Diceros bicornis minor: one gene and its partners. The protein of the gene in region 3 purifies or fractionates together with the protein of the main gene of each other region. This does not show direct contact. Links are inferred from orthologs where the notes say so. Each region holds a gene or a part of one and is shown on either strand. Other genes may lie near its edges.

What was found. The genes of interacting proteins can lie anywhere in the genome.
Region 1: the proteins of UTP4 (region 3) and WDR43 purify together in Homo sapiens (co-immunoprecipitation; 5 studies listed by BioGRID and IntAct, counting the BioPlex papers as one, with this or other methods). This does not show direct contact. The link is inferred for Diceros bicornis minor from reciprocal best matches to the Homo sapiens genes UTP4 and WDR43.
Region 2: the proteins of UTP4 (region 3) and UTP15 purify together in Homo sapiens (co-immunoprecipitation; 4 studies listed by BioGRID and IntAct, counting the BioPlex papers as one, with this or other methods). This does not show direct contact. The link is inferred for Diceros bicornis minor from reciprocal best matches to the Homo sapiens genes UTP4 and UTP15.

Annotation. Positions count from the first base shown.
Region 1 is NC_080751.1:54,131,936-54,141,736, forward strand, and holds the start of WDR43 (WD repeat-containing protein 43), read right to left. Parts: upstream 4,397-9,801; 5' UTR 4,375-4,396; coding exon 4,150-4,374; intron 1-4,149. UniProt on the Homo sapiens protein: Ribosome biogenesis factor that coordinates hyperactive transcription and ribogenesis. Part of the small subunit (SSU) processome, first precursor of the small eukaryotic ribosomal subunit.
Region 2 is NC_080740.1:3,225,487-3,234,997, forward strand, and holds the start of UTP15 (U3 small nucleolar RNA-associated protein 15 homolog), read left to right. Parts: upstream 1-5,115; 5' UTR 5,116-5,354; intron 5,355-9,511. UniProt on the Homo sapiens protein: Ribosome biogenesis factor. Involved in nucleolar processing of pre-18S ribosomal RNA. Required for optimal pre-ribosomal RNA transcription by RNA polymerase I.
Region 3 is NC_080771.1:20,660,464-20,670,583, reverse strand, and holds the start of UTP4 (U3 small nucleolar RNA-associated protein 4 homolog), read right to left. Parts: upstream 4,324-10,120; 5' UTR 4,253-4,323; intron 4,167-4,252; exon of another isoform or gene 4,125-4,166; intron 3,173-4,124; 5' UTR 3,171-3,172; coding exon 3,012-3,170; intron 1-3,011. UniProt on the Homo sapiens protein: Ribosome biogenesis factor. Involved in nucleolar processing of pre-18S ribosomal RNA. Part of the small subunit (SSU) processome, first precursor of the small eukaryotic ribosomal subunit.

The sequences.
Region 1 (9,801 bases), on a different chromosome or scaffold from region 3:
AGAAAAAAGCACATCCAAGTGATGAAGCCTGAATTTGACCAATTGAGCAATGACTTTTTAGACTGAGATCCCAGAGGAAGAAAAGAGTTTACATAGAGAGCCAATACACACACTCATAAAAACGTATGTATAAACTGAAACAAGTTTCACAAAAACTTTATCCTTCATCATGCAAAATATACTCAGACATTGTCTATTTCATTTTTTAATGCTGTCACAACCCACTAAATCTATTTCGCAATGCACTAATGGATCAAGACCTATTTTTGAAAAATACTGACCTCTAGACACTGAAAATTATGCCAAGTTTCAAGTCTCATTCTGCAATTAGTCTCCTATGCCATAGTCTCTTGGCCTATATTACTATCACTTACTCTGGCAAATGTTTAAGTTTCATGGATAAAGGTGAACAAAATGTGTGCATTTTACACATAATTACATACAGTATTTATATCAAAACAATTATAATTCTAATACACAGGAATTTCTATTTCTGCCAATGGGATCTAATCTGCAAACTTTACCTTCTTTTGAAGTTTAAATACTGGAGAGACCTTAAGACAGCCTTCATCGTACAGAAGTCGAGTGTGCTACATCTCTAAGAAATGGAAGTGGGGATACTCAGCTGAGATTTTTCCTAGAAATATCCTTAATGCTACTGTGCTTGTCCTGTCCAATGTATGAAATGCCACGCGGTTCATTCAACAAGCACTAAGCTGTGTGGGTCATTTTAACTGCAGTGACAGCAAAGCAGCGTAAGTACATTTACTGCGGTAGCCAACAGCAGACAAGGCTGTTTCACCAGGGCTCTACAGCAGTTAGGGAAGGAAAAGTAGAAAAGTTGGAGAGATTTAAGGCGGCAACAGAACACCAGGGTCAGTTCCTAGGTGGCTCAGCCATTTACTGTGTGGCTTTGGCATATCATTTAACATCTTAGCCTCAGTTTACATACGCAAATCTGAGCAGCTCTAAACACGGCGTCCATCTATAGTCCATCAATCTGTCGCCTTGCACTTTTCTCGTCATCCTAGGAGGTCCTCTTGCCCCAGGCTCCATCAACCAAAAGGAATGCTCAGCTATATAATATATATATGAAAACCCTCTAAAAACTATTGTGTCATAAATGCAAGTATTATAATCATTCTATGACCAAGAACAAGAAGCAGCAATCTAATTTCCCTAAACATTTATGAACCACTGCTTTAACTCCTGTTACCCAAGAAATCCAGCACCAACTCACAATTCTCAATCGATAAGAATACTGTGACCAAACTTTGTCCTTGGGTGGCAAACTGCAAATTACTGAACCAGATGCAGGACACTCTTACAAACTGATTTATATTGAGGAATGTAGCAGTAAATGATAAAATGAGCCCATATAGAACACTCAATGAATCATTCAATAACTAATATTTATTGAGCATTTACTGCATGCCAGACCATACTACACCAGTCACATACATTGCCTCATTTAATCCTCTCAGAACGCTGAAAGGTGGGTGGCATAATCTCCATTTCACATTTGAGAGAAACAAGATCTTAACAAGATGCTGAGAACATAGGCTTCAGAATAACACTCTTTTCATGCCTCTTACTTTAAGCCTCAAAGTTGCAAAATAATAGGGTTTCATAAGATGAGAGCATCTTAAAACTTAAGCGGCAAGCATCATAACCCCGGGGACCTGAGAGCAAAGGTTGAAGCAGTTGCTACAAATCACTCTTCATTTTCTATCTTTAAAAATCATGTGACTTTTTAATTTTATACCATAATATATGTGCAAATTTGTTTTAATACAGGAAAACTGCTTCACTTCCTAATTTTCAAGTAAAAATGATGCTCTAAGAGAACACATTCCCAAGATGATGAGGACTGGATGTCTCTACACTCCTCCCAGCTGTCAATTCTGTGATTCAAGATCTAAGGTTACAGTGTAAGAGCACTAGACCAGGAGCCAGAGTATCTCAACTCTAGTCGCTTCAACTACTTTACTGTGTATTAGGGCTTCGGTGAGGTCATTTAAACTTTCTTAGTCCTGATTCTCAGTTTTTAAAAATGTAATAATTTCAGGGCATCTCACTGGGTTGTGTGGCTAAAACAAGAGCATACAGGTAAAACGATACTGAAACCTGTATAAACTTTTTAATGTAGCCCAACTCTCATTTTTCAATGAAGCCTCCAAAATTAAAGTGACTTGCTCAATGTGACAAAAGCAAGTTTGACTTGAGTCCTGATTATGAAACCAAATCCAGATATTTTCTATTGTATCAAAGTGTTATATATATTCTAAAACTAAGACTCTTAACAGGAAATTTAAGACTAGGCAAAAATTTTATTCCTGAGGTATACAATGTGATAGTAAGTCAACAGAAAAGCAAAGTGGGCGACAAATTTTTGCCAACCTAATATTAACTATTTGTTGCAGATAATAGAGAACTGAGCTCTAAATACCAGAATTCTAGTCCTGGTTCCATTTTTGGCTTTTTCAAGTTGCTTAACTTTCTAGAGCCTCAGTTTTTCTTCCCAAACAAGGCAAAAAGTTAGTCTTTACCTACCTTGCAGGACTAATCACACAAATATGAGATACTTATAACGATATTAACACTTGCAGCACTTACACACCAAGAACTATTCTAAATATTGTATGCATTATTAAATATGTTAACCTTCACAACCACTCTATGCGGTAGATACTATTATCCTCATTTTACAAATGAGGAACTATAGGCACAATTACTACTATGAAGCCAAGCCTGGATTCAAATGTAGGCAGCATAGCTTGGATCCATGCATCTAATCATTGCTCTGTATTTCTCCTCTTCATTAGTATTATCACTTTACAGGAATGTTAAAATACAAACATAAAAAACAACTTTGAGAAAGAAAAATATGCAGAGTGCTGTAATTTTAACACTGACAACTACGATTTTTTCACAAGTCCAAGTTTTGTGCTTGACTAAGAGCTCTGAAAAGGTTTCTCTTATTAGTCAAGAGGAGACACTTCATCCAGAAACTATGAAAATTAAGCTTAAAATGTGAAAAATACCTAAACATACTTATACAAAGTAGAACAAGTTAGATGCATCCCTACTTTTAACCTAAAAATTTAGCAGAAAGTTCCCTAGGGTAGTCAGAAGGGAGTTAAGATCTGTACTAAATACTAGCTTTTGAAGTTTTACAGAGTGTCAGCTGAACACCACACACCTCACAATACCTGATGCTTCCAAACCACACTGGACTGATTCAGTTTGGCTACCCTGTACCTGCAGTTCCCACGTGCGTGTGAGTTAGAGCAGATGTAGTCGCGTGACTCACAGTGAATAGCATCTTACCTGAGATGGGTGGCTAAGAGTGAAAAGCCTTCCCTAACTCGGCAGTGTCCTATCTAACAGAAACTTCACCTGGACTCACGATCATTAAGCTCAACTACTTCAGTTTACCACCATATCCTAATGCAGACTTCAACCTTGGGGGAAAGGAGATGTACAACAGTGGAGCCTAGCAGAAGTTAAAAATAAAAAAGCAAGAAGGTTCAAACGGCCGAGAATGGAAACGACCCTGGGAAAGTCAAGAGTTTCAAGAGTGCAAGTCCCACATCCTGGACGTGGAAGAGAACACGTGGTGAGCCGGCACCCGAGGGGGGGGGGGCCGGTTGGGGTTGTCCGGAAGCAAGGAAACAGACTTGTTCATTCCAACTGCCCAGGGCAAAGCCAATAAGCTGGACAGGGGTCGGAGAAGTAGTATAGCCCCAAAGTGGAGCTCTGTCAAAGGCCAAGGCTCTGAAGAGCGCACGCTGATGAGCAAGGCCAGGCAGCAGGAAGCCGCCCCTGGGGGGCCGGGGGCCTCCGCGAACATGGCGGCCCCGGCGACTGCGGGGCGCCGGGCGCCGACTGCCGACTGCATGGAGCCCGCCGGCAGGGTGCCGGCCCACGGCCCGTGAGGTCGGGCGGCGCCCTCTCTCGCTGCCCTCGGGACAGGCCGCACACAGGGCTGGCGGCGTGGGCCCAGTCCGCGCCGCCGCCGCGCCCCGTGCCTCCTCGCCCCGGGCCGTCGAGGGCCACGCGCGATGCTGGGCCACGCGCCGAGGGGCCGGGGGGACCCGGAGGCCGAGTCCGACAGGCGCCCGCCCACCGCCATCCCGCTCGCTTTACCTTGGCCTGCAGCCGCCCTGGCGCCCAGGCCAAGCAGGTGCAGGTACCGCTGAGGTGCGCGGAAGGCACGTACTCCTGGTGCAGCCGGTTGTTGGCTGTTTCCCACACTCGCAGGTGACCGTCGGTAGACGCCAAAGCGAAGTAGGCCTGGCTCTGGGGGGAGAAGGCGCAGGGGACCCCCGCGGGAGACAGGGGGTCGGCAACACTGCCGCCACCCGCCGCCATTGCTGCTCTGGCTCCGCGGCAGCCACGTGTTCGCCCGTGCGCAGGCGCACCGACGCGGGGCGGGGTCTGGAGGGAGGAAGTGGGGCGGAGGAAGCGCCGAGGGTCGAGGGCGTGGCCTTTCGCCGCGCAGGCGAGCGTAGGGCGGGCCCACTGTGTGGACGGTGGCCCGGTGGGCCAATGCTAGCTTGCACTGGGGAAGGGAAAGGACGTGTGGAGCAATGTGACTGACTGTGCCCTGGAGAGCGGAGCTCATTCCTTTAAATAGAGTTGTTCCGTAGGAAGTTGGATATATGAAAAGATCACAGTTAGAGATGTAAACTGTGGATGCGTTAGCATACAGATGCTGTTTGAAACTGTGGGACTGGTCAGATCATGTTGGGTGTAAGTATAGATAGAGAAGAAAACTTAGCCCCAAACTATGCCAGTCTTTAAAGGTCAGGAAGAGGAAGAAGATCCAGCAAAGAAGATTAAGAAGGGGTAACAGTGAGGCAGGATGAAAGCCCAGGAGAATGAGATGCCCTGAAAACCAAAGTTTTATAAGAATTTCACAAGCAAGATATGATCAAAGCCGTGTCAAATGCTGTAAGATGAAGACTGAGCATTAACCAGTGGACTTGGCAAGATCAAGGACACTGGTGACTTTTCAAAAGCATTTTTAGTAGAGAGGTGGGGGGGGAACTTATTGAAGAGAGTAGAGGGGAAAAAAGGGAGTGAGAAAGTGCAGAAAAGTATAGACAACTATTTCAAGGATTTTTGTTATAAAAAAACATATATAGGTCTGTATGAAAAAAGATCTGAGCTAGAGTGATTTGTTAGTCGTAAATATACAAATAAAAGCCTATTTATTGTGCACTTATTATATGTCAGGTATTGTTCTAAGTGTTTTATGTATATTAATTCACTTAGTCCTCCCAACAGCCCTAGGATGTAGAAACTATCAATATCTCCATTTTTCAGATTTTTTTTAAATTTTTTATTTATTTTTTCCCTCAAAGCCCCAGTAGATAGTTGTCTGTCATAGCTGCACATCCTTCTAGTTGCTGTATGTGGGACGCGGCCTCAGCATGGCCGGAGAAGTAGTGCGTCGGTGCGCGCCCGGGGTTCCGAACCTGGGCCGCCAGCAGCGGAGCGCGCGCACTTAACCGCTAAGCCACGGGGCCAGCCCTCCATTTTTCAGATTTAAAAAAACTGAGATATAGAGCTGGGCAGTGGAAGAGAAGCTGGATTTCCAACCCAAGTCATCTTTGGGCATGGACGACCTGACCCAATGAAACTATGTAGGGTTCACATAGATGACCCTCCAATACCCAAACATATCATTTCTTGACCTTCTCCCTTTCAATGATCTTGGCATCTACCTTATACCAGCCACTCACTCCCACGGTCATGTCGCAGACCTTATCATTACAATAACTGCACCCCCTCCATAATCTCTGTTTCCACACACTGCTCTCTAACCACCAACTCCTATTTTTTCAGCCCGCTCCCTCTAGCTCCCAGGCTCCAGCCAGTCCTTCTACCCCACAGGACCATCAATTCATCGATCCTACAATGTTTTCACCAGCCCTCACCCCTCCTCCCTGACGGCTGCCCTTCCCTCTTAATTCATCTTAAAGTCTGTCATTGCAATTCTCAACTCCCTTGCCTCTTTCTCACATCATAGTCCTTCGTTGGTGAAACTGCAAGCCTGGTAAAATCTAACTCTCCACCCAAAAGCAGCTGAAAGTGAGTAGAGAAAAGCCACAACCACTCTATTATGACTCTTACCCACTTTAAATTCATGATCACAAATGTCATGTGGGAAGTCAACGCTACCAGGTTATCAATTGTTCCCTAGTCCATTCACTCTTCCACTCTCCTAGACATTAATTCATATCCTATCACCTCAAACTTCCTCCTCCAACCTCGCTCTCAGTGGATGACTTTGCTTCCTATTTTCTGAGAAAATAGCAATCAGAAGAGAACTTCCACGAGCTCCCAGTACCACAGACGCTACCCACCTGTGCTCCATCTTTCCTGTACTACAGATGAATTGTCCATGCTCCTGGCAAAGGCCGCTCCTCCACATAAGTTCTAGATCCCATCCTCTCTTGTCCATTCAAGAATATTATTCCAGGGGCCGGCCTGGTGGCGCAAGCGGTTAAGTGCGCACGCTCTGCTTCGGCTGCCTGGGGTTCACAGGTTCGGAACCCCTGGCACGCACCGACGCACCACTTGGTAAGCCATGCTGTGGCGGCATCCCATATAAAGTAGAGGAAGATGGGCACGGATGTTAGCTTAGGGCCACTCTTCCTCAAGAAAAAAGGGGAGGATTGGCACTGGATGTTAGCTCAGGGCTAGTCCTCCTCACAAAAAAAAAAAAAAAAAGAATATTATTCCAGGGGCCGGCCCCGTGGCTTAGCGGTTAAGTGCGAGAACTCTGCTGCTGGCAGCCTGGGTTCAGATCCGGGGCACGCACCAACGCACCACTTCTCCAGCCATGCTGCGGCTGCATCCCACATACAGCAACTAGAAGGGTGTGCAACTACGATATACAACTCTACTGGGGCTTTGGGGGAAAATAAATAAATAAATAAATAAAATTATTTTAAAAAAAAAAATTATTCCAAAAAGTCTTTCCTCTCTCTACCAGCATCAAGTTTTACTTCTCAGCTTAATCCTTCTCATCAACATATAAATATAATGTTATTTCTCCCTTCTTAAAAGATAAAATTCCCTTGACCCCACTTCCCCCTCTAGTTGCTGTTCCAATATTTCTTTCCTTTAAAACAAAACAAAACAAAAAAGTAGTCTAATTTTCTCAATTTCTCTCCTCCAGTGGGACTTTCATCCTCACCCACCACTACACAGAAACTCTTCCCAAGGCCACCAATAACCTCCACACTGCTAAATATGTGTCCATTCTAAGTCCAAATCTTACTTGGCTTGTCATTAGCGTGCTTGTCTTCCACGACATCACACCCTCCTGGCTTCTTGTTACTTCTCTGGTTGCTCCTCTCAGTCTTCTCTCCTGGCTCTTCCTTATGTCCCACTCTCTAACATCAGGGTGCCCTGGGGCACTTCTTTACCTGGGCATATGACTTTCCAGAATGAAGACTATATTTTCCAGCCTTCTATGCAGCAATGTGAGGCCATATGACTATAGGCCAGTACAAAAATATCCTTAAATTGAGAGGGTATACTAGTCATCATTGCTTTTTTCTTCTACCTCTTCTTTTTTTTTTTTTTAAATCCCTCCTATCTGGGGGATGCTTCCTGCATTCTTTTTCTCTTTTTTTGCAGGAGAAGATTCACCCTACACCAACATCTGTTACCATTCTTCCTCCTTTTTCTTTCTTTTTTTCCCCGCCCCGCCCCCCAAAGCCCCAGTACATAGTTGTGTATGGTTGTAAGTTCTTCTATTTCTTCTATGTGACCCAACGCCACAGCATGGCTACTGACAGACAAGTGGTGTGGTTCCGTGCCTGGGAACCGAACCTGGGCTGCTGAAGCGGAGTGCACCGAACTTTAGCCAGGCCATCAGGGCTGGCTTGCTTTTTTCTTCTTAATCCTTGGAACTCAAATGTGGTGGCCAAACCTGGAGCATTTATGTTGGACTTTGAGGAGAAAAGAACATGCTAAGAAGGGCAGAGCAACAATAGAGAAGGACCTAGAGACCCTGAAGCCTTATATATGCCCTGGACCAAATCTTCTGAACTTTTTTTATACAAGAGAAAATAGACATCCCTCTTGTTTAAATTACTATCTTTTGGGTTGTGTCACATGCAGCTGAACCTAATCGTGTTCATTCTTTCGTATCCCTTGCCCCAGTTGGTGATACCACCAGCCATCCAGTTAGCCATAGTAGAAAGCCAGAATTCAGCCCTGTTTATTACCCAATCTCATATCTCATTTCTACCCAAACACATACACACTTCTGATCAGTCATCAGATTCTTTTTATCTCTTAAATAATTCCCCACTCAATTTCCTCACCTCCATCCAATTCAACCACCTCTGTTCTTATTTGAACCTTATATCTCTCACCTGAAGTGCTGCCACTGCTTTGGTTGGACTCCCTTTCTCCAGGCTGCCCATTGGTATAATCTTTGCAAGTCATAAATCTGACCATTCTACCTCTCTACTCAAAACCCTTCGCAAGCTTGCTGGTACCTATAGAAGAAAGTCTATACTGCTTAATATATATGGATTACAATCTATAATCTGGTTCTTGTTGATGATGGTCTCCCCTATCATCACTCACTACAGGTTGCCTCAAACATCACACCCCAGATCCTGACCTGCTTCTGGTTTCCTGCCCTTACCACCCTTGTTCTGGGCTCTGCTCTTTTGTTCATGCTTGTAATTTAGGCTCTTCCAATCTTCCCTCTGCCCCCAATTCCAGCCCTTCATCCAATTTACTAACAATTTGGCTAAACAAAGTCCTATAAGTCCTAAAGAGTGATAGAGCCTATCAATCTCTAATCCTTAACAAAATATTAGCAAGTCAAGTCTAGCAATAAATAAAAAAGTTTATACACCATAATCAAGTGGGATTTATCCCAGGAATGCAAAATTGGTTTAACATTCAAAAATCAATACATGTAATACAACACATTAATAGAATAAAGGATAAAAAACACATGGCAATCTCAAAAGGTACAGAAAAAGAATTGAACAAAATCCAACACCCATTCATGATTTTTAAAAAAAAAAAAACCTTAACAAACTAGGAATAGAAGGGAACATCCTCAACCTGATAAAGAGAATCTACAAAAAAACCCACAGCTCACTTCATACTTCATGGCGAAAGACTGATGCTTTCCTCCTAAGAATGAGAACAAAGCAATGCTGTCCACTCTTACCAATTCTATTTGGTATTTTACTGAAGGGTCTATCTAGTGCAGTAAAGTAAATAATAATAATAATTATTGTTAGTAATTATTATTGTTATGGCATCCAAATTGAAGAGGAAGGAGTAAAAGTATCTTTATTCACAGATGACATGTAGGAAATCTCAAGGAATTCACAAAAAGCTCTAAAACTAATAAATAAATGTAGCAAGGTCACAAGACACAAGATCGATATACAGAAAATCAATTGTATTTCTACATAGTATTAATGGACAATTTCTGAAAATTAAATTAGGAAAATGATTCCATTTGCAATAGCACTTGAAAGAATAAAATACTTGGGAATAAATTTAACAAAAGAATTTCAAGACTTGTACTCTGAAAAGTACAAAATATTGCTGAGAAAAATTAAGCAGGACTAAATAAATGGAAAGATATTGCATGTTCATGAATTGGTAAACTCGATATTGTCAAAATAGCAATTCTCCTCAATTCACTCTATAAATTCAATGCAATTCAATGAAATCCATATCAAAATCTTAGCAGGACTTTTGTAGAAATAGATAAGCTGACTCTAAAATTGATATGGAAACACA
Region 2 (9,511 bases), on a different chromosome or scaffold from region 3:
TTATACTTTGAGCCTTTTGTTGTTAATGCATTGTTAGGTCACATGCAACTCCTAGGAAGCATTTCTAGTTCTACCCTCCATGATGACCAGACAAAAGGCAGGAAACGATCTGCTTAGGGTACCGTATTTCTGGTAAATCTTTTACATACTGATCGGGGCCATGAGGTATTGGAATTGTATCTCCTGCGGTGGTTTGAGGATAATCCAGCCTTGCCAGATTGTAAAGTGATCGGGGTGCTGCACAGTGTTAATGCACACGGAGAACACTGTGGGAGGCAGAGGAGAGTGCGGAGGAGAGGCAAGGAAGTGCCAAAGGTTAAATAAACAAAAAAATCTTTGAGAGCCAAAGCATTCAACAGACTTTTCTTTGATCTTTACCAAAATTTATGAAGAAATCCAAAAGGAATTTGATAGCAGACAGGAGTTGTCCATCAAGATTATTTGCTTCTTAGCTCCAGAACTCACTTACTTTATGCAAACTACTGGAAATGATCAAATTGCTTGATCGTGGATGTAAGCATCCTCAGGAAGGTTTCTAAGTATGACTTAGTTTATGTAATTGAAACGTAAGGGTAGCCACTCCAAGAACCCATAAAAACATCAGTTACATATTTTCATTTCACCTGAGTCATCTGAACAATCACCACAGTTGTTTCTTGTGTCACACACCTTGTCCACATATATCCAAGTCTTCTGGTTGGGACACTTGAATATCAAGTTTTGTGGGAGACTGCTGGGCATTTTGCCTATATTAGACAAAGACATTAGTTCTAATAGAAAACATTCATGCATGATAATGTTTTAAGTGTAATTCTGAATTTTAGTTATTCGTTTCTGGTGACTATTCTTTAATCTTGATTATTTGTCCACCTCGCATTCATCTTCACCATGACTGCAGTCCAGCTTGCCGTTACAAAGCAGTGACGGTGACAAGCAAGTAGTGAGGTCGTCACACAGGAAGCCAAGGTGCTGTGAAGCTGTCCTACAGTATTGATAGGGCAGACCTGGAAGATGTATGAGCTGAGTACTGGATGTTGTCGTGTGCATCCCTGGCCATGAACATCAAGCTGTAATAACAGAATAACCTGCTCCTCCTTCCCCCTCTGCTTCTTTCCACTGTTCTTTTTCCCATTATTTCTTCTCCTTTTCTTTCTTTTTCTCCCCCATTTTCCAAAACTCTCTAGACCTACCTCGCTTGCATTTCTTGCACCACCACTGGCATTTGGGCAAAAAGTGTGGACTCACTCCTGCCTGACGAGGAACCCAAGGGGACCGGCAGGGAGTCAACAAGCCTGAACTCTGGGGTGAGCCTGGCGGTAGCCCTGCAGCCCCTTCACTGTTTTCTTAGCTGGAAATGGCAATGAAGATAACTTGCTTCACCAACCTCAAGGGGGCGCTGTCAGTTAAACTGACTTCATCGTTCACGTGCAGGGAAACTACTCACCAAAAATGAGTGGGAGTTTGTCAAAATAATGTGATATTTAAAAAAAAATTTTAAGTACTATAAAAGTTTAATAGAAGTTAAGGTGTAAATAGTGGATTGGTAACCCTTATATCTCAAACATATTTACACCTAAAATAATGTATTTCCAGAAAATTCCAGTTTGGTGTGTAGAGTGGTAAATAGGCTGGAAATATGTGAGATACCTGGGTCAGAGTTGGTGAGGGCTGAGTGCAGGTGCGTTTGCATCTTGAAAGTTTTGTAGTTGGGACCAGGTTGATAATTAAGAGGCAGATGACACCACAGTTTGTATCCCCTAATCCATGAGGAGCTGATTTCTCTCAAATCACCAACAATGTTTAACACCAACCCAACCAAATACTGAATCATTCGCTCTTCTGTCTTGTTCACCACTGTTTCCCTAGTCTCCCTACTTACAGCAGAAACTCCTTGAAGGTAGAAACCATGTCCTGTGTGAGCTTCAGAGTTGGGCGGACCTGGATTGGAATTCCAGCTTGTAGATTTACCAACTACATGGATCTTGGGCAAGTCACCTAACTTCTCCGAGTCTCTGCTCATAAGGGTGATAATGGTGATAACAACCATCACCTCGCAAGACTGTTGAAAAGAACGAAATAAAGATGACGTGTTAAGTGTCTAGAGCAGTGGTTGGCACATCCCTCAGGCCCATTATCCCGTCATCAGGAGACTCAGCCCCTATCACCCAAATCAGGAGACTCACCCATTTAGAAAATAATTGGGGGATAAATATATTTTTGTTGGTTGAGTGAATTATCAACAGATCCAGCACCTTGGGGAGACACATACTTGCAGGTTTCACAGGTATCCCAAAGGTGATCTCAAGACTGATAGCAGAAGCCATAAGTCCAAGCACAAGGAATGCCATGAAGGAAATCCAGAGACACTGCCTGGTGGGAGGCCAGCGTTGCTCTGTCAGCAAAACACAAACATGAAGAACAAGGCTTCATCTCAGGGCAGAGGCTCATGTGGGGGCTACGGTGCTAACCAGCCAGCTGTTGCCTATGGTCACGTCAGTGGGAAAGGCAGGAGCCAAAATGACAGGACCTTAGAAGTATGCTTTGAACCGTAGTGGTGCTTTCCTGTCTACAGTTGCTAATCCAATCTTTTGGGCCCCCAGCCTTATGATGAGTGGCTATTGCTCCCCGCACTGTGAAAATGAAGCTCTAAAATGAAGAAACAGGGCCAGTGAGGGGAATGACTTCTGAGGTTTATGCTGATGTAAGTGGAACTATCTCACCTTAAACCCAGGTCTTCTGGCTCCCTCTCCAGGGCTATGTCTACTCTGCTGAAGTTTCCCCAAACCTGGTTTTCAGGCTACTTCTACCAGAATCAGTGCAGAAAATGCAGATTCCCAGGCCCCACCCCAGACCTATGGGATCAGAATCTCTAGGCGGTGGGGCAGAGACCTGCATATTTTTTGAGCACTCAGGTCATTCTTGGACACATCAGTCTGAGAACTAACAGTCCTATACCAAAGAGGAGTGCAGACTCGGGGCTTGGGTTCCAACCAGACGCTCCTCAGGACTCTTGCTTACTCGTGTCTGGCATCAGCAGTCCCTGACGAGCAGGAGGGGAGCTGCTTCCCTTGGAGTGGCTTGGCACCAGGCGAACTTGCCTGACCAGTGTTACCGGCATGCCACAAAGAGGAAACAGAGCTCCCACTGCTCCTGGTCGTTGCCGTCAGCAGCACTGCCTTCACAGTCAGACTCCTCTCTTTGCTAGTCCCGAGGTGGCCCAGCGGCCAGAGCTCCTAAATCTCTCTGAACCTTCTTCAGGGCCTGAGTCTGCAGTTGTGGGATCTCCTGGGCCTCCATGTAAGGAATTAGCATTCAAACCCCCTGTGGGTAAACAGTACATTTTAACAGGAGAGAGATGAGATGGCATCTTTTATGGCGACCACTCCTAGAGTCTAAGGCTTTTGTCCCTTTGGAACTATATCAAGTATAAAGATTAATTCTTTTATCTCTAACACCTAACAGTGCTTCACAATCAACAGCCCTGTCACGCAGCTGTGCGTATTCACATTACTGGTGAAGAAACTGAGGCTTCAAGAATCTAAGTGTCAGCAAGTGTAGAAATAGGGACTCGACCTCAATCAGACCCTCTCTCTGAGTCCTCTGCCCACCACAAAGCTGCACTGAAGATTTTCACTCTGCTGGGTCACAAAACCCTGCAAATCCCCGCGCCTTAAGCCCGAGTCTCCGGCTCCTGGGGTCAGTGTGCATTAGTCCTTCCCACGGTAGCTACAGCCTTTAAAATGTTCTTACTCTTTGATTAGAAATCCCATTCTGGGCCTCTACCCTGTGCATATAATTGGATCTGCAGAAGAAAGCTTTATGTGGAAAGATTTTTTACAAAATTTTTATGTAGTGTAATTTTTAACGGGAAATACTAAATGCTAAACGAATTCTAAATGAAAACGCTTCAGTGGCTTTAATATTAAACGCCTGTTTACTAAAAGTGATCAAATAAACCATTCAGTTTTATATGTGATGGATCCTCGACGGGGTAAAACAATCATATAAAGACACCAAGCGTGAAGAGAAAGCCTGCGCAGTCCGCAGCGGCCGTCTCTGGATTGCGGTTCGTTTGTTCATCATTCATTCCTTCGGCAAATATTTGCGGAATATCTGTGTCTGGCGTGTGCCATGCTCCGTAGACACACTAACGAACAGGACAGATGTAGCCTTGGCCTGAGGCGAGCTGGAGGTCTGGGGACAATGTGATGTTTAGCAGACGGGTTTGTGTCAGAATCACTAGGGGGGAGGGGGGAGCGTTAAAAATTCGCGTATTCGTGGCGTTAGGGCATAATATAATTTTTTAAAAAGCTCCCTTAGTGATTCTGAAACACAGCCAGGATGATAGGTACTCTTCTAGAATAGAAGTCTCCAACCTTTTATGATCCCACATCCCTTCAGTAACACAACAAATAAACGAAATAAAATTAACATTCCCCCCACGACATATGAATATTTATTTATAAATTCTACGCCTGTACTAGTCCACTAATGTATTACGTATATTGTAAGACATTGTCGAAAATTGAAATTTAGGAAGGGTGAAGTTAAATATACTATAAAGATAGAAATCTTAATAATTTCTTCCCTGACCCACTGGATCCTCCTTGGCGCCCTGTGAGATTCATTTGGAAATTACTTCTCTCTCTAAAGGACAAAGGGGCTGTGAGCGGCGAACAAGAAAGGAAGCTGCTTTTACGAAGTCATTGCTTATTTAGTAGGACGGCCTCGAGGGGGTTGGAAAGGCTCATGCAAACGCTAATCATTGAAACAGACATTGAAATAGACCTGTGACATTACAGTGGAATTAGAGCGACACAGCCTGTCTTTATTACCTGGGTGGCTGATGCGTAACTGGAAATCATTCCTCTGCGCGTCAGCGGACACGAGGGAGTTTATGGGGTCTCTGGGCCCTAAAATCCATCTTAACTAAGCCGTAACAGCCAAGAAAGAGGAAGAAGGGATTGTGCAGAGTGAAAGATGAACGAGGGGCTTGCCCGAGGCCTGCAGCCAATCAGGGCGAGGCTGGGGCACTGCGGTCCTGAGGAGGAGCTGGGCTGGGATGCTGAGCGGAGCTGCCCGGAGGGGCGGTGAGCCTTGCGCCTGCGCAGTATTTCCTCACTCGGGCCCGAGACCCCGTCGGCTGCAAGGCCAGTGTCCGCCCTGAAGAGGGCAGCAGAGAGCAACGAGTGGGCCCCAACTCCTCGGGCTCCGCGCAGCCCGCCGCGCAGCAACCACCACCCCTCTCTGCTCAGCGGCGGCGTGGACTGGAAGGACCCCAAGGGCCAGGAGATGCTCGCGGCTGTCCCATGCTTCTCGGGATGACTGGCCGGGACGTTTTGAAGCGTTTGGAGGTAAATCCGCAGCCACTCGCCCCTGCCACGGTGGTCGTGTCTTCTGTTTGCAAGCAGTATGAGGTAGTTTAAGCACCTTCAAATGCCTCTAGTTTACTTTCAGAGGGAACCCGGGAGGTAAGCGGATTTGTAGGACCGTTTCATAGATGAGGAAACAGATGCCCAAAGATTGAACACTTGACCTGCCTTCCATAGCTGGTTAGTGACAGAGCCGGACTTGGACCCAGATCTCCTAAAAGCAAGTAGAATTTAACTTTTCCTGCTAAACTCACTTCTCTTAGAGTTCTTGGGCCGTTTCTCAAGGATCTGCATATTCTCTTTGAGAATATAAACTTTTGTTTTCATTGTGGTGATAATCTGTAACAGTTATTAAAGCGTATTCTGAATCCTCTGGATGACCATGACTGACTGGTGGCATGTGTTGTCAGGATCTTGATTTACTTTGTGTTTATCCTTCAATTTGTGCTTGTCTTTGAGTTTGTACCAAGTGAAATCCAGTTGACTTCACGGTACACTCTATCACTGAGATATTTTGCAGCAGGCTGAACGCAGAAATGTGGTGGGAGAACTGAGTCATCTTAGGACACACAAAATACAGGCATGTCAGACGTAAAAGTAACTTGCCCACAACGTCCATGTTCACGTTTCCAGGAGACGTGCACTGTGGTCGCAGTCTTTGAAAATATCAGCTTTCAACCGTTCAGTTGATAATAATTTTAGTGGTAAGCATGCCTTGAAGAATGGTTCTGTTCTGGAGTCAACAATAATTGGATTAGTTGCCGCTGCATGCAGACTGATCTCTTCCCATAGAAGGGAACTGTACAGTTATCAAGTACCATCCATGTTGCTCACTCGCAGTGTCAGTTAAGTGAAAGGTTTGCTTCTCCTGAGCCACAAACAGGCTGGGATGTACGAAAACTCCTGTGTGTAAGCAAACAGGCGTCCTCGGGAGTTGTATTTTCAACTTCACAATAGAGAAGCAAACTAAATATATGACCAGGCCTGAGCTAACCGTTAACCCCAAATTGGCAATTTAGTTTCTGTAAGACAATATGGTAGTCCTCCCTTATCCTCAGGGGCTACGTTCCAAGACCCTCGGTGGATGCCTGAAACCACGGATAGTACCTTACCCTACATACAATGCTTTTCCTATACATACATGCCTCTGATAAAGTTTAATTTATAAATTAGACACAGTAAGGGAGTAATGGCACTTGTGCTATTATTAAGTAAAATAAGGGTTACTTGAACACAAGTACTGTGATACCACAACAGTTGATCTGATAACCCAGATGGCTGCTAAGTGACTGACGGGTGGGTGGTGTGTACAGCGTGGATCCGCTGGACAAAGGGATGATCAAATCCCAGGCGGGACGGAGAGGGATAACTTGAGATTTCATCACGCTACTCAGAATGGCGAGCAATTGAAAACTTATGCGTTGTTTATCTCTGGAATTTTCCAATTAATATTTTCGGACCACAGTTGACTGTGGATAACTGAAACTGTGGAAAGTGAAATCACAGATCAGGGGGACTGCTGAAACATCCACTTACCCATCACATTAAATTAATATTACAAATTTGAATTTTATTAGTTTTATGGTATTTGGTTTCAATTTTGTTCTGCAATTATATAGTAACCCATAAGCGCAGAGTTTATGCATTGTTTTATGGTTGTCCGTATTGAAATAACATTATAATAAACATTAAAATGATAGCGGTGTGGTGGGAGTCGGGAGCCTGCAGTCATTTTCCCAGAATGCGAAGGAGTCCACTCAGTGCTGGGTGTGAGGAGGCTGTCTCCTCTCCTCTTGGCAGTCTTGCTGCATTCCCTCCCTGCACCAAGCCCTCTCACCTCTGAGAGCTGCTCAGATTCCTTTTCTTCACCTTTCTTCTTAGCAACATCAGCCCCCACTCTTCTCTTACTGTAACTCCACACTCAGCTCCTCGGCTCTCAGGGAGCTCTCCTTCTCGGGAAAAGTTTTGAGACCCTAATCTAGTTCAGTTACCCTTCTTCACACATGAAGAAACTGGGGCCTCGATGGCTAAAGTGACTCTAGTTCAAGGTCACCGGAGACTGCAGCCAGCATTCCTGGTTTTCAGCCTGGGAACAGATCCACAGAAAGGGCAGAGGGAAGCAGCCGTCGCTATTTCCCACGGGCCTGCTGCTTGCCTGTTCCTGATGCGGGAGGGAGGCGACACAGGCATGGTGGAAGGCATTGCGAGAGGGGCGAGTACCGTGCAGCGTGGTGCCTGGACCTTCCAGCGTCTGAGCCGAGGCTGCGTGATGAAGGGCACAGTCACTGGAGTCAGCAAAGCCGACCCTGGACTTGACCTGCCAAGAGGAGCTGGTGACCCTGGGCAGCCGTTGCCTCCCTGCAGGCCGCAGCTTCCTTGTCTGTAAAACGGTCAGGGTTGCAGTAGAATTTCAGTGTCTCCCAACCTCCCCTGAAGATACGAATCCCTTGGCGTGTTTCTTAAAAACCCATGTTCCTGGGCCCCCACCCTGAGCTGGAATGTCCCAGGGGAGATGCCTGGTAACCTGAAGTTAACAGGGGCCTCAGCTCTTTGTTACCATCAGGGAGACTCCGGACCAGATAAGTCCTGAGGCCTCTGCCTCCTCTCCTTCTGCGTCAGCGAAAGCCCCCGATACACTGCAAGTGTGACGCTGAGAGGAAGAACCTGGAATCGGCACCAGCCCTTCACCCCTAAGAGCGCGGTCAGTGTGTCACTCAGCAGGTCTCCGAGAGACAGGGACAACGAGACGGGTGGGCTTTAATCAGAGGAATTAACTGCGAGGGCACAGGCAGGCCTCCCAGGAGAGACGGACGACTGTGGAGCAGCAGCGGGGTTTTCCGGGTGGCTGGAGTTGGACACGGCAGGCCTGAGCCTGAGCCTGGAGTGCAGCCGTCTGCACTTCTGAGGGGAGCCAGCTCTGTGGGTCTGTCCAGTGTAGTGTGTCCCTTAGTGGTGGCCCGGCTTCAGGGGAACCAGCTGGGCTCCCCTGGTGACACGTCCTAGCTCTATAGGAGGCCAAGCTCCATTTTCTGTCTTAATGAGCAGTGACACCATCCAGTCAGAAATGGACATGCAGAGATGGGGGGCGTACAGGAAAGATTGTTCTGCCGCTTGTTAAGACGGTGAGGAAGACTTCATCTGAAACGACTGCAGTAGGGGGAGAGACTCACCTCAGCTCTGAGTACAGCAAAGACGGGGCATTTACAGCCCCCGAGCAGAGGGAGGGGGCAGCGGAGGGAAACTAGAAAGAGGAACTTGATTCCACCTCAAGGGGAGAGGGATCGTGATAAACCGGCTGAGTCGGGTTCGTGCTCAGACTGGGCTCAGCAGGCCAAGGTCAAGGTCAAGGTGAAGGTCAAGTCGAGAGGGAGGCTGGAGGAGCCTGACTAAGCTTCATCAAGGACGGAGTCTGTCAGGGGCTGAGATGAGTTAATAAGGCGCTGGTGGGGTTGCGGGTTTCTCTCTGTCGGGCTGAAGAGCTGGCTGAGGAAGAACCATTGGTGGGTCAATACGGAGGCTGACTGGGGCTTGTACTGCTTGACAGGCAACGTTCGTCATAATGAAAGAGTAACAATTACAGCTCTCGTTTGTTATTTTCCACGTGGCAGTAATTTTATATACATTATTTCAAATCCTTAGAAAAACCCTCCGAGATGGTATCACTATTTTAATTTTACGATGAGGAAACAGGCTCAGGAAAAGCCTTGTTGAAGTCAGGAATTGAACCCAGGTCCGTCAGATTCTCAACCCCGAGGGTTCTCACCATGGCATGAGTCTTAGCAGTTTGTAGGGTGAATGAATTTGTAAAGGTAATGAACAAGTGGACCAGTGAGCTTTATTTCAGGTCTAAAGTAGGTGATGGCGCTCAGGGCAGGCCACCCCAAGATGCGCAGCTCTGGTATGCGGATTATTTCCAGCTGAAGACAATAAAGACTCAGAAAACTCGGGAGGGACATTTGAGTTTCCCCTCCCAAATTGCCTAAAGAACTTAACATAAAAGCTCTGTTTCAGGAAGGAGTTACTATCATGATGGCTGTAATATAATGTAAAATAGATGTTACAATAGGAAAGGCACCAAGCCCCTCTAATCAAAATTCTGTCTCTTCCTGGCCACATTCTCTGGGTCGCCCTGCTGGGAG
Region 3 (10,120 bases):
TTTCAGTAGAATAAAGCTTGTAACCAATTGTATTTGATGTATGCAATTTTTAAAAAACCAATGCAACTATCTTGATTGGGTGATGGTTTCAAAGGTGTACACATACATCAAAAGTCATCAATGTGTAAAAATGGGCAGAGGAAATGAACAGACACTTCTCCAAAGAAGATATACAGATGGCCAATAGGCACATGAAAAGATGTTCAACATCATTAATCATCAGGGAAATGTAAATGAAAACAACACTAAGATATCACCTCACGCCCGTCAGAATGGCTATAATCACCAAGACAAAAAACAACAAATGTTGGAGAGGATGTAGAGAAACAGGAACCCTCATACACAGCTGGTGGGAATGCAAACTGGTGCGGCCTCTACGGAAAATGGTATGGAGATTCCTCAAAGAATTAAAAATAGAGATGCCCTATGATCCAGCCATCCCACTACTGGGAATCTATCCAACAAACTTGAAATCAACAATCCAAAGAGGCTTATGCACCCCTATGTTCACTGCAGCATTATTCACCATAGCCAAGAAGTGGAAGCAACCTAAGTGTCCCTCGACTGATGACTGGATCAAGAAAATGTGGTATATATACACAATGGAATACTACTCAGCCATAAAAAAAGACAAAATCGTCCCATCTGCAACAACATGGATGGGCCTGGAGGGTAGTAAGTAAGTAAGTGAAGTAAGCCAGAAGGAGAAAGACAAACACTATGATCTCACTCATATGTTGAATATAAACCAACACATGGACAGAGAAATCTGTATTGTGGTTACCAGGGGCAATGGGGGTTGGGGGTGGGTACAAGGGGTGAAGGGAGTCATATATAAGGTGATGGACAAACAAAAATGTACAACACAAAATTTCACAATGTTAAAAACTATTAAAACATCAAGAATAAAAAAAAGTCATCAATGTGGATACTGGCAAATACATGCTGATTACTGTGTGTCAATTTTACCTATATAAAGCTGTTTAAAAAATAAAAATAAGATAAACAAATGCAGCACTCTAGCTTTTCATTCAAGTCTCAGATTTCTAAGTGCTTTCTTAGCACTCAAAAAGTTTTCATATCTATCAAGGCATTTTACTCTTATATCTGCTTCAAACAAAAGGGACTGAGTAGGTATAATTTTTCCTATTTGAACTTGAAAAGGCTGAAGTACTTGTGGGTTAAGTGGCTTGCCCAAAGTGACAAAGTCAATGACATGAAGAGAATGTAGGTCTCCTTACTCCAAGTCCCTACTCTTTTCACTCCAACAGATACAATTTTTTCTTGTTCTGAGAGTGATTAACAGACCTAAGCAATTTTATATAGTAGAGAAGAGAGTATGGAGAAAGCAGAAGACTAGACTGAATTAATTAACTGTTGAAGAAAAAAACAGATGAGAGAAGAAAATAAGAGGTACCACGGAAGGAATAGTTGAATTATTCATTCAACAAATATTAACTCAGCAGGGTCTTTATACCAGGCACTTAGTAAATGCTGGGATTACAGTCATGAATATCACTGACATGGTCCCTGTTTTCATAAAATTTGAAGTTCAGTGGGAAAGAAAGACACTAAACAAATATACAAATTTTTATATAATTGTCATAAATGACAAGAAAAATCACAGGATGCAACAAGCATGTACCACAGTATGTTTTTCATACTACAGAACGTGACCCATTTGTGGTGCCTGGCAATTTTTTAACTCTTATTAGTTCTTTAGGGATCAGCGCAATAAGTCATCCCTTCTCAGGATTCTTAAACCTATCTCATCAGAAAGAGTAAGGCACCTCTCCACTAAGATTCTATGCCTGTGCTTAGTTTTACGGTAAAATTTACCCCACTTTTTGGAAACTGTACATTCATCCTCCCCCCCGCCCCAGACTGGGTTCCTTGAAGGTAGGGCCTCTAACATTGGTCTTAATGCCTAATACTTGCCACTCATTCATTTAGAAACATTACAGAGTGCCTAAATTCAAAGTCCTAGGCTCCTGGGCACTGAACTCATTCATTTATCCACCCATCCATTTACATCAGGGTGCCTAGGGCACACAAGGCACTAAATTAATGTGAACTGAATTATTTTGTTGCACCTGAAATCAGTAATCAGTGCCTTTGAAAAATACGCTGCTGTAACAGCCCTCTGAAGACACCCAAATGGTATTTTACCTAATTTAAAAATCTCCTTTAGGGCTGGCCCCGTGGCTTAGTGGTTAAGTGCGCGCGCTCCGCTGCTGGCGGCCCGGGGTTCGGATCCCCGGCGCACACCAGCTGCACCGCTTCTCCGGCCATGCTGAGGCCGTGTCCCACATACAGCAACTAGAAGGATGTGCAACTATGACATACAACTATCTACTGGGGCTTTGGGGGAAAAATAAATAAATAAATAATTAAAAAAAAAAATCTCCTTTACTTCCAAATATAGGCATTTTCTAAGCCTATGTTCTCTCACACAGGTGAACTCAGGAATCCATCTTCCTGCCATCATGTAACCAAAAAGTTTGATATTAAATGTTTCTACACAGAAATTGAAATATAATGATGTACACCTGAAATTTATATAATGTTATAAATCAATGTTACTGGAATAATAAAAAAAAGTTTCATCATTTTTTCTGAATTGACAATGAGTACTGACTCCACCAGCAGGAAATGCCGCCTTGCCAAAGTTGCTATGGTGCAGACATATAAAGCAATGGTCTTGAGAATTTCCCTTGTTGTTGTGACCAAAAGGTCCAGCAAACCTCAGTTTCCAAATGACAGTGAGCCCCCACAGTTCTTAGGTAGGATCTTTCTAACCAACATTACACAGATCAAAACTCTTGAGCTCATCATCAGTCAGAGAAGAGATTGCATATTTGCTACAGAAGTTATGTAGTTCTAAACAACTCCAGGGAGAGTCCCCTTCCCTACGTCTCTCTGAATACAAAAGACACAAAGGATTTTGTATAATCCAACTTAAGAAGAAAATTAAGATCAGAAACACCAAATCAGGCTCCCAAATGACTTACCTTCTCCTGAAAGTAGTTTGCTGACAAGTTATAAATTTCCACAGTGCCATCTGTTCGTGAAACAGCCAATCTGTTTGACTGGTTATTGTAAGCCACACAGCGGATCCCTGACGGAACATAATTAAAGAAACGCACTCGATGGACCGTAAATTCACCCATTCCTAGAGGAGAAAAAAAAATTATTGTTAAACATTAACTGCAGTATGTCATACATCCTGTTTATCATCACTGTTCTGGATAGAAGACTCCAACTACATCTTACTGAGGTTCATTTCTCAATACATATCTAATTAATGATGCTTTTATGCCCCACACAAGAATCTATCAATCTCCAGAAGTTCAGGATACTTCAGCAAAAAAATTAAAAGACCAGCATATAGAGCACCACCCAGACTCTTAATAATCCTGACAAGTGCCTAAAAGAGGGGTGAGAATCTAAAACTTGACCTTAGAGCAAAAGACAGAACACAATCTCATTCTCTAACTGGGAGTGCACACCTAAACGCAGGGAGACACACAGAGGTGACCAGTTGTACTCAAGGCAAAAACTAAGGTCCTCCTTTCTATTCTGTGTGAGATTTCTTGAGGGGGAGCAGAAAAAGAGGGTAAAAACACGACGACTGTCAAGAAGCAAGAAATATCGACAGCTTAAATCAGTCTCTCAGAGTCAGGTCTGCAGGATTCCTGCATCAAAATCACCTCGAAGAACGGTTTTAACAAATGCAGGATTCCAGGTCCTACCCCATAGCTCCAGAATCTCAATCTCTTGGGGGGGGGCTCAGGAATCTGCATTTTAGCAAACATTTTTTCCTAACTCTATTGCATGCTAAATTTGCAATGGTAGCGATGGTGGGGCTGACGGGGCAGGCAGAACCAAGAGCTCCTCAAGGAGGAAGCGACAGGACTTGGTCTGGCATCTGTCAACTACCTCCACCCCGCCGCCAACACACACACTGGGCGAGAGCAGGGGCCGGATCTGGTTCGTCCCTCACTCGTCTCCCTTCAAGATCAGGAGCCTACGGGCAAGGCAGGCGTGCTCCGCCCGGCCCGGCGAAGAGGGCGTCTGAAGCGCGCGCAAGAGTTCGGCCACCCCTTCCCTCTCCGGGCACTTACGGAGTAGCCCCCACCAGCCTCGGCACAAGGGAATCGACGAGCTCCGCGGGGCGTCCACCTAGGGCAGGTCGCACCCCCTCGAACTCCCCTCTCTCAGACTCGCTTCCCCGACCCCTTCCCCAACTCACCCACGGTCAGGCGCTCCCCTCTCTCCGCCCCGGCCCCACGTGCGCGCGCGCTGGCGTACTCTGCCCCGGAAGTGCTCGCGGCGCAAGGCCGGAAGTGCGCAGGCAGTGCTCGCGGCGGCGGCGACGGCGGCGGGAGGTTCGGTTGTCGCCCGTTGGCCGCGCGGCGCCGCGCTCGGCGGCCGCCATTGCAGGTCAGGCCGCGGGCGGGGGCGCGGGAGGCCGCGGGGAGCGAGGACCGAGCCGGGGATGGGGGCTATTGTGCGAGGGAGCGGGAAGCTAGGGAACTGGGGTCGGGTGGGGCGCGCGGCTCGGGGAGAAGAATGGCGAGCCGAGGGGCGGGGAGCAGCGGGCGGGGGAGGGGCGGCCGGGAAGGGGGAGGGGAGGGGCAGGGCCGCGCTGAGGTGGGGGCGAACTAGAGGGGCCCCCGGAGTAGGAGGGCCAAAGGGAGCCGTGTGGAGACGGAAGGCGGAGGGAAGGAAGGGAGCGAGCGGGGCGGAGCGGGAGAAGGGCGGAAAGGGTGGCCGAGCGCGGGCGGAGGACGGAGAAGGGGGCGGCGCGGGCCGGAACCTCGAGGTATGTGCGGAAAGGGGCTCTTCCCCGGGTGGGGAGGGAGCTCAGCACGCGAGGCTTGCGGGAGCGGGGTAGAACTGGAACCCAGGAAATAGAGGGAATATCAGAAAGGGGACTTTGTGGGGTGGGGGGGTAGGACTGTGAGGTTTGTTTGAGGGAACATTTTAAATCGCAGGGGGGAGGCTGCTGGAAGAGGTAATTTGGAGGGTGGTTAAAAGGAAGAGACAGTCTGGAGAGTGATCCCGGTTCTTTTGTGGGCGGAGTGAGAGGTGAGAGAAGAGTGGGGTGGGATGCTGGAGGAGCGAAGTACTTCAGAATTGAGGGGGGAAACGGAACGATTTGGAGAATGAGGGTGATAGAGAATGTTTAAAGAGTAATCTTTGGGAGGAGGGTAAACGGTTTGGAAGATTATTCCGGTGGGGGGTGTGGAGGAAGGCAGTTTAAAGAATAATTTCTCTGGGAGATCGGAGAAAGGGTTAAACAGCCTGGTAAGAGGTCCCAGCGAAAGTCTGGGGGTAATTTGGAGGGGGGTGGAGAAGAGACGGGAAGCCTATTGAGAAGTCCCAGAAAGTGGGCGGGACTAGAAATAGGAAGTGTTTGTAGATCAAACTGCAGGGATGGGAGGGGGCCAGGAGAGAGGGTGGAGAAGATGGGGACCAGTGGGAGGAGAATGCAGGGTTAAGGGAGACCTCAAGCAGGGCTAGAAAGGAAGGGGCTTTGGGGAAGATAGGGTGCCATAGCAGTAAGAGCAGGAAGGGTTGAGAAGGGGTTGCAGAGTAGCAGAAGATGGAGAAAACTGGAGTAACTCAGATCGACTGAAGCCATCTTTTCCGCCCGTTGTCTACAAATACCAGTAATTGATTCCCTCCATCATGGGAATCCTAAAATGTTACGGGAAAGTACCACGTGTATGCATAGTATCCACATACGTTTTTGAACACACTCTTCACTAATGAAAAGTTTGGAAGCATTCAGTTCCACCTACCCTCCATAGCCCCTTTTTGGAGGGGAGCAAGCGTCTCATTGAGAATTTTAGCACTTGGTGACATAAGCCTGTCAAGAGACAAGATCCCCTTTGAAACTTAAACAATCCCCCTCAGTCACAAAACCACAATAACACTGCTAATAAAAATAATCTGTATTCAGTTGTATATAAACTTGCTGAATGGTTCATTTGGTAGAAAGGCACACAGAAATAGTCATGTTTAGAGAAAAAAACCTTCCAGAACTTAATCCCTGAAGCAGTTTGGTGAACCCTGACTGCCATGTTTGACTTGTTGTCCCATTATGTAAACTTGATTTTATTCTGATGACCTGCTGCTTTTATAGGATGTTTCAGTCCACTACAAACATTAAAATAATAATTATACAGTGTAGTATTAAGACATTTGATTGGACATATAGTAAGAAAATGCCACTTCTTCCAGGTAATCAATAGCTTGACTCTAAAAGCTTACCATATGTTAGGGACTGTGCTAAGAACTTTACATTCATAACCTCATTTAATTCTCACAACATCTCTTTGAAGTAGGTTTTTTTTTATGCGCAATTTATTGGTGGGGAAACTGAAACGAGGTTAAATTACCCCACTGTCACACATAGGATAAGTGGCAGAATCCAGATCTGACAACTTGAGTTCTTACTGTATCCCTAAACACAAAGAATAGTCCCTGGGACCAGATAAGAACTCAGTAAATGCTAACTGTTGGCCTAGCAGTTTGCAAACATTTTGTGTCATGTATTTAATTTTTTAAATTAAGAATTTTAAAGTTAAGCTTTTATTCCTTTTCTTAAAAGCTTAAAATACAGGATGAATTGAAAAGTTCTAATGAAAAAAATTTATAAAACATTGTTTTGCTCTAGTAAAATTTAATTATTTGTAATTAGGTTAAAACATTGGGTCAAAGCCTCTTGTTTCAGTAAAAGCTGTTATCTATTTAATTGGATATGCAAGTGCGATATGTATTGCACTTTCTCCTGCCACATTTTATTTTGAAGGCAGTTACCATTACGAGGATCTCTGCTCATGCTGTTCTCTATAAGACAGTAATCTTTTAACATGTTAACATTTAACAATTCAAAAACCAAAAGATAAGGGAATTAAATTTTGTGGGAGAGTAAAATGAATCTGTGACAAAGAACTTGCTCTGTTTTCCTGGCTTATTCTGCCTTACACTAAGGAACAGAGGTTAGGGTAAAGTTTTGAATCCTGGAGGTGACATTGAGTAGATCTCTAGAGATTTCAAAAACCTAACTTTCATCAGTTGGATATGACAAAAAGCAGGCTTATTTTTTGTTTTTAAGTGCCTGCCCCACAGATAGGATAGCTACTTTGGTGGCAAATTATAAGATCTTCCCCATAGGTTACTTATTTACCATTTATAAGAGAAGCTGTGAGAAAGGCTGATATTTGTAAAGCAATCAGAAGTTCTCATGCAAAGTAGTGCATGAGATGGGGCTGTGAAAGGACTGCAAGAGGCCATATTGTGGAGGGGTTAGGGTTCTCGTCCCAGCTCTACCACTTTCTAGCTGTGTGACCAGTTACTTAACCTTTAGCTTCTCTAAGCCTGTTTTCTCATTTGTAAAATGGGAGTGATAAGACAATGCCTACAATCATAGGATTGTTTTTTGTTTTTTTTTTTGTTTTTTTTTAAAGATTTTATTTATTTATTTTTTCCCCCAAAGCCCCAGCAGATAGTTGTATGTCATAGCTGCACATCCCTCTAGTTGCTGTATGTGGGACCCGGCCTCAGCATGGCCGGAGAAGCGGTGCGTCGGTGCACGCCCGGGATCCGAACCCGGGCCGCCAGCAGCGGAGCGCGTGCACTTAACCGCTAAGCCACCGGGCCGGCCCCATAGGATTGTTTTTAGGATGAAATGAGAGAATCCTTATAAGTGTTCAAAAAAGGTTAGCTATGTGAGAAATGAAGTTTTTTGTATTATTAAGATAACACTCTGCCTGGACTTTTCTTCCTTCTTAAATTGTAGTGGCACTTTGATTTTTCATGTTTTTAATAATTTAATAGTAACTAACTTCAATATAGAGATAGAAGCTAAATGGCAGGGCCGGCCCCGTGGCTTAGCGGTTGGGTGCACGCGCTCCGCTGCTGGCGGCCCGGGTTCGGATCCTGGGCGCACACCAAGGCACTGCTTCTCTGGCCATGCTGAGGCCGCGTCCCACATACAGCAACTAGAATGATGTGCAGCTATGACATACAACTATCTACTGGGGCTTTGGGGGAAAAATAAATAAATAAAAATTATAAAAAAAAAAAAAAGAAGCTAAATGGTAGTTAAATGAGGTGTATCCCGGATTCTTCTGATTCCAGTCAAACCTTTTGGGTTTTGATGAGGATTCCCCTTGTGGGTCTGGATGGATTCTGAGACTGCTGGTTCCTTTGCTGCTCTGTGGTTTGTTCAGGGGTCTCGAAGTCATCTGGAGCACTGTCCTGAGAAGCAACAGTGACTTTACCCAAGACCTCCAAACTAATGCCAGGTCTTAAGACTGGGGATGATCTGGGGCAAGCTTAGATAAGTATCGTTTCTAGACATTTCAAAGCCCCCAAAAAGACTTTTATTGTTTTTGAGGAAAAATTGGGAGTTAAAAAGTGCAAAGTGCTTTAAAAAATTTTTTCCTTAGCAAAGCTAGTCACTTGACTAAGTTAGGAATATAGAACTTAAGTATTGTTTAGTTTATTTCGCTTTGTGAAGGCCCGGAAAAACTGAGTAGAAAAAATTTCCCCCCTTTTATGAGATAAAGGAGGAGTCCAAATAATTCATTGCAGAGAAAGAGGTTTGGTTTTTTCCACACCTCCTCATCTCTCCAAGTCCACGCTCTAGTTGTGGCCTGTGAGATTCCACTCTGAAATAGAATGAATTTAAACATCTTTTTGAAAAGTGACATCACAGAACTTTTTCCCTGGCTCTACAGTTACATTGTTAACTTGGAATTATTCCTGTCCAAAGACAAGTTAGTTGGTCCTAGCCAAATCTAGGATTAAACTCAAGGTTCTGGAGAAAGAGAGGTGCTGGGCGAGCTCTTCCATTGACTCCTTTTGGTTTCATGATTTGATATAATGTATTCATCATACTGTGGCTTCAAACGCTGCTCTTGATAAAGCTGCAATTTCTACACAAGCAATATCTTAGAACAAATGCATAGAAATTGCTCTAGTTGTCTTTAAGTGTTGGAATGAGTTGAGATTGAAGACTTAGAAATCTTGTTGTTATACAGAAAATTTTCATTGTGATGTTGTGTTTGTTATTACTAATAGCATTTGATTTGTATTATACTCCTTCACCTCTTTATTCTCTTACTAACTCTTTCTGCTTACTCTCAAGGGGATGGGGACAGATGGGGCTGCATGTTCTCGTATCCTTTTTGGTCACCTCCACACTAAGTGAAATACATATTCCCTGTCACCTCTATCAGGTGTGTCCTCAGTGAAGTGCCCAGGTATCTACTGAGAACAGTTGCTTAGAATAGTAATCTTAAGGAGCAAGAAAAGGAATAATAGGATTCAGGCAATAGGATATTTTAAGGCACTAAAGCAGAATTTCTGAATTCAATAAAGGGATGCCTTTCTCTACGTTTCTTACTAACTTGGTAAATACACCCTCACATGCATAAATGTGGCCAGGTCAGTCCTCGGGTTCCTATGAGCTAGATTGTTACAAGCTGGGTGTGAACTTCATTTGTATTCACATCTGCGGCATCCCAGTAGGTCTAGCACAAGTTTTTACCAGCCTGACTGGGTATAGCAGCAGAGCTGAGGCTGTAGGCCACAGAATTCTTATTTTCAGGAGCATTTCTAGATGTCTGCCAGTATCAATAGCTGTGCTCAGGCAGGGCCTCCTACATAAGTGGGTAAAGCTGTGTGTGCTCATTGAAGCGCCAGGAGTTAGTATGCAAGTGCAGCCACTCTGACCCAGCTATTAAGCATCTGTTTTCCTTTGCCTACTTAGGCCACTGTTCTGAATTCCCAGGAAGTGGGGAATGCACTGAAAATATTTCTGTATCCCTTTTTCCTAAACAGTCCCCACATGCCCATCTCAAAATGTGGTCAGAAGCCTTAAAGATTGATCTTGCCTGCCATGATCTTCCTAGAATGTGTTGTGTATCTGTGTGAACACTTTGTTGCTTCTCTGAAACCGCCTGTATTTTGCTATAACTTATATCCTTTAAGGAAAATATACTGCACCATCAGTCATCAAAAGCTTATTTACAAGAACGGCTTCTCAATCTCTCTGCATTGATTGACCTTTAGAAACTTCACAACTTCATCTTTTTGTTATTGA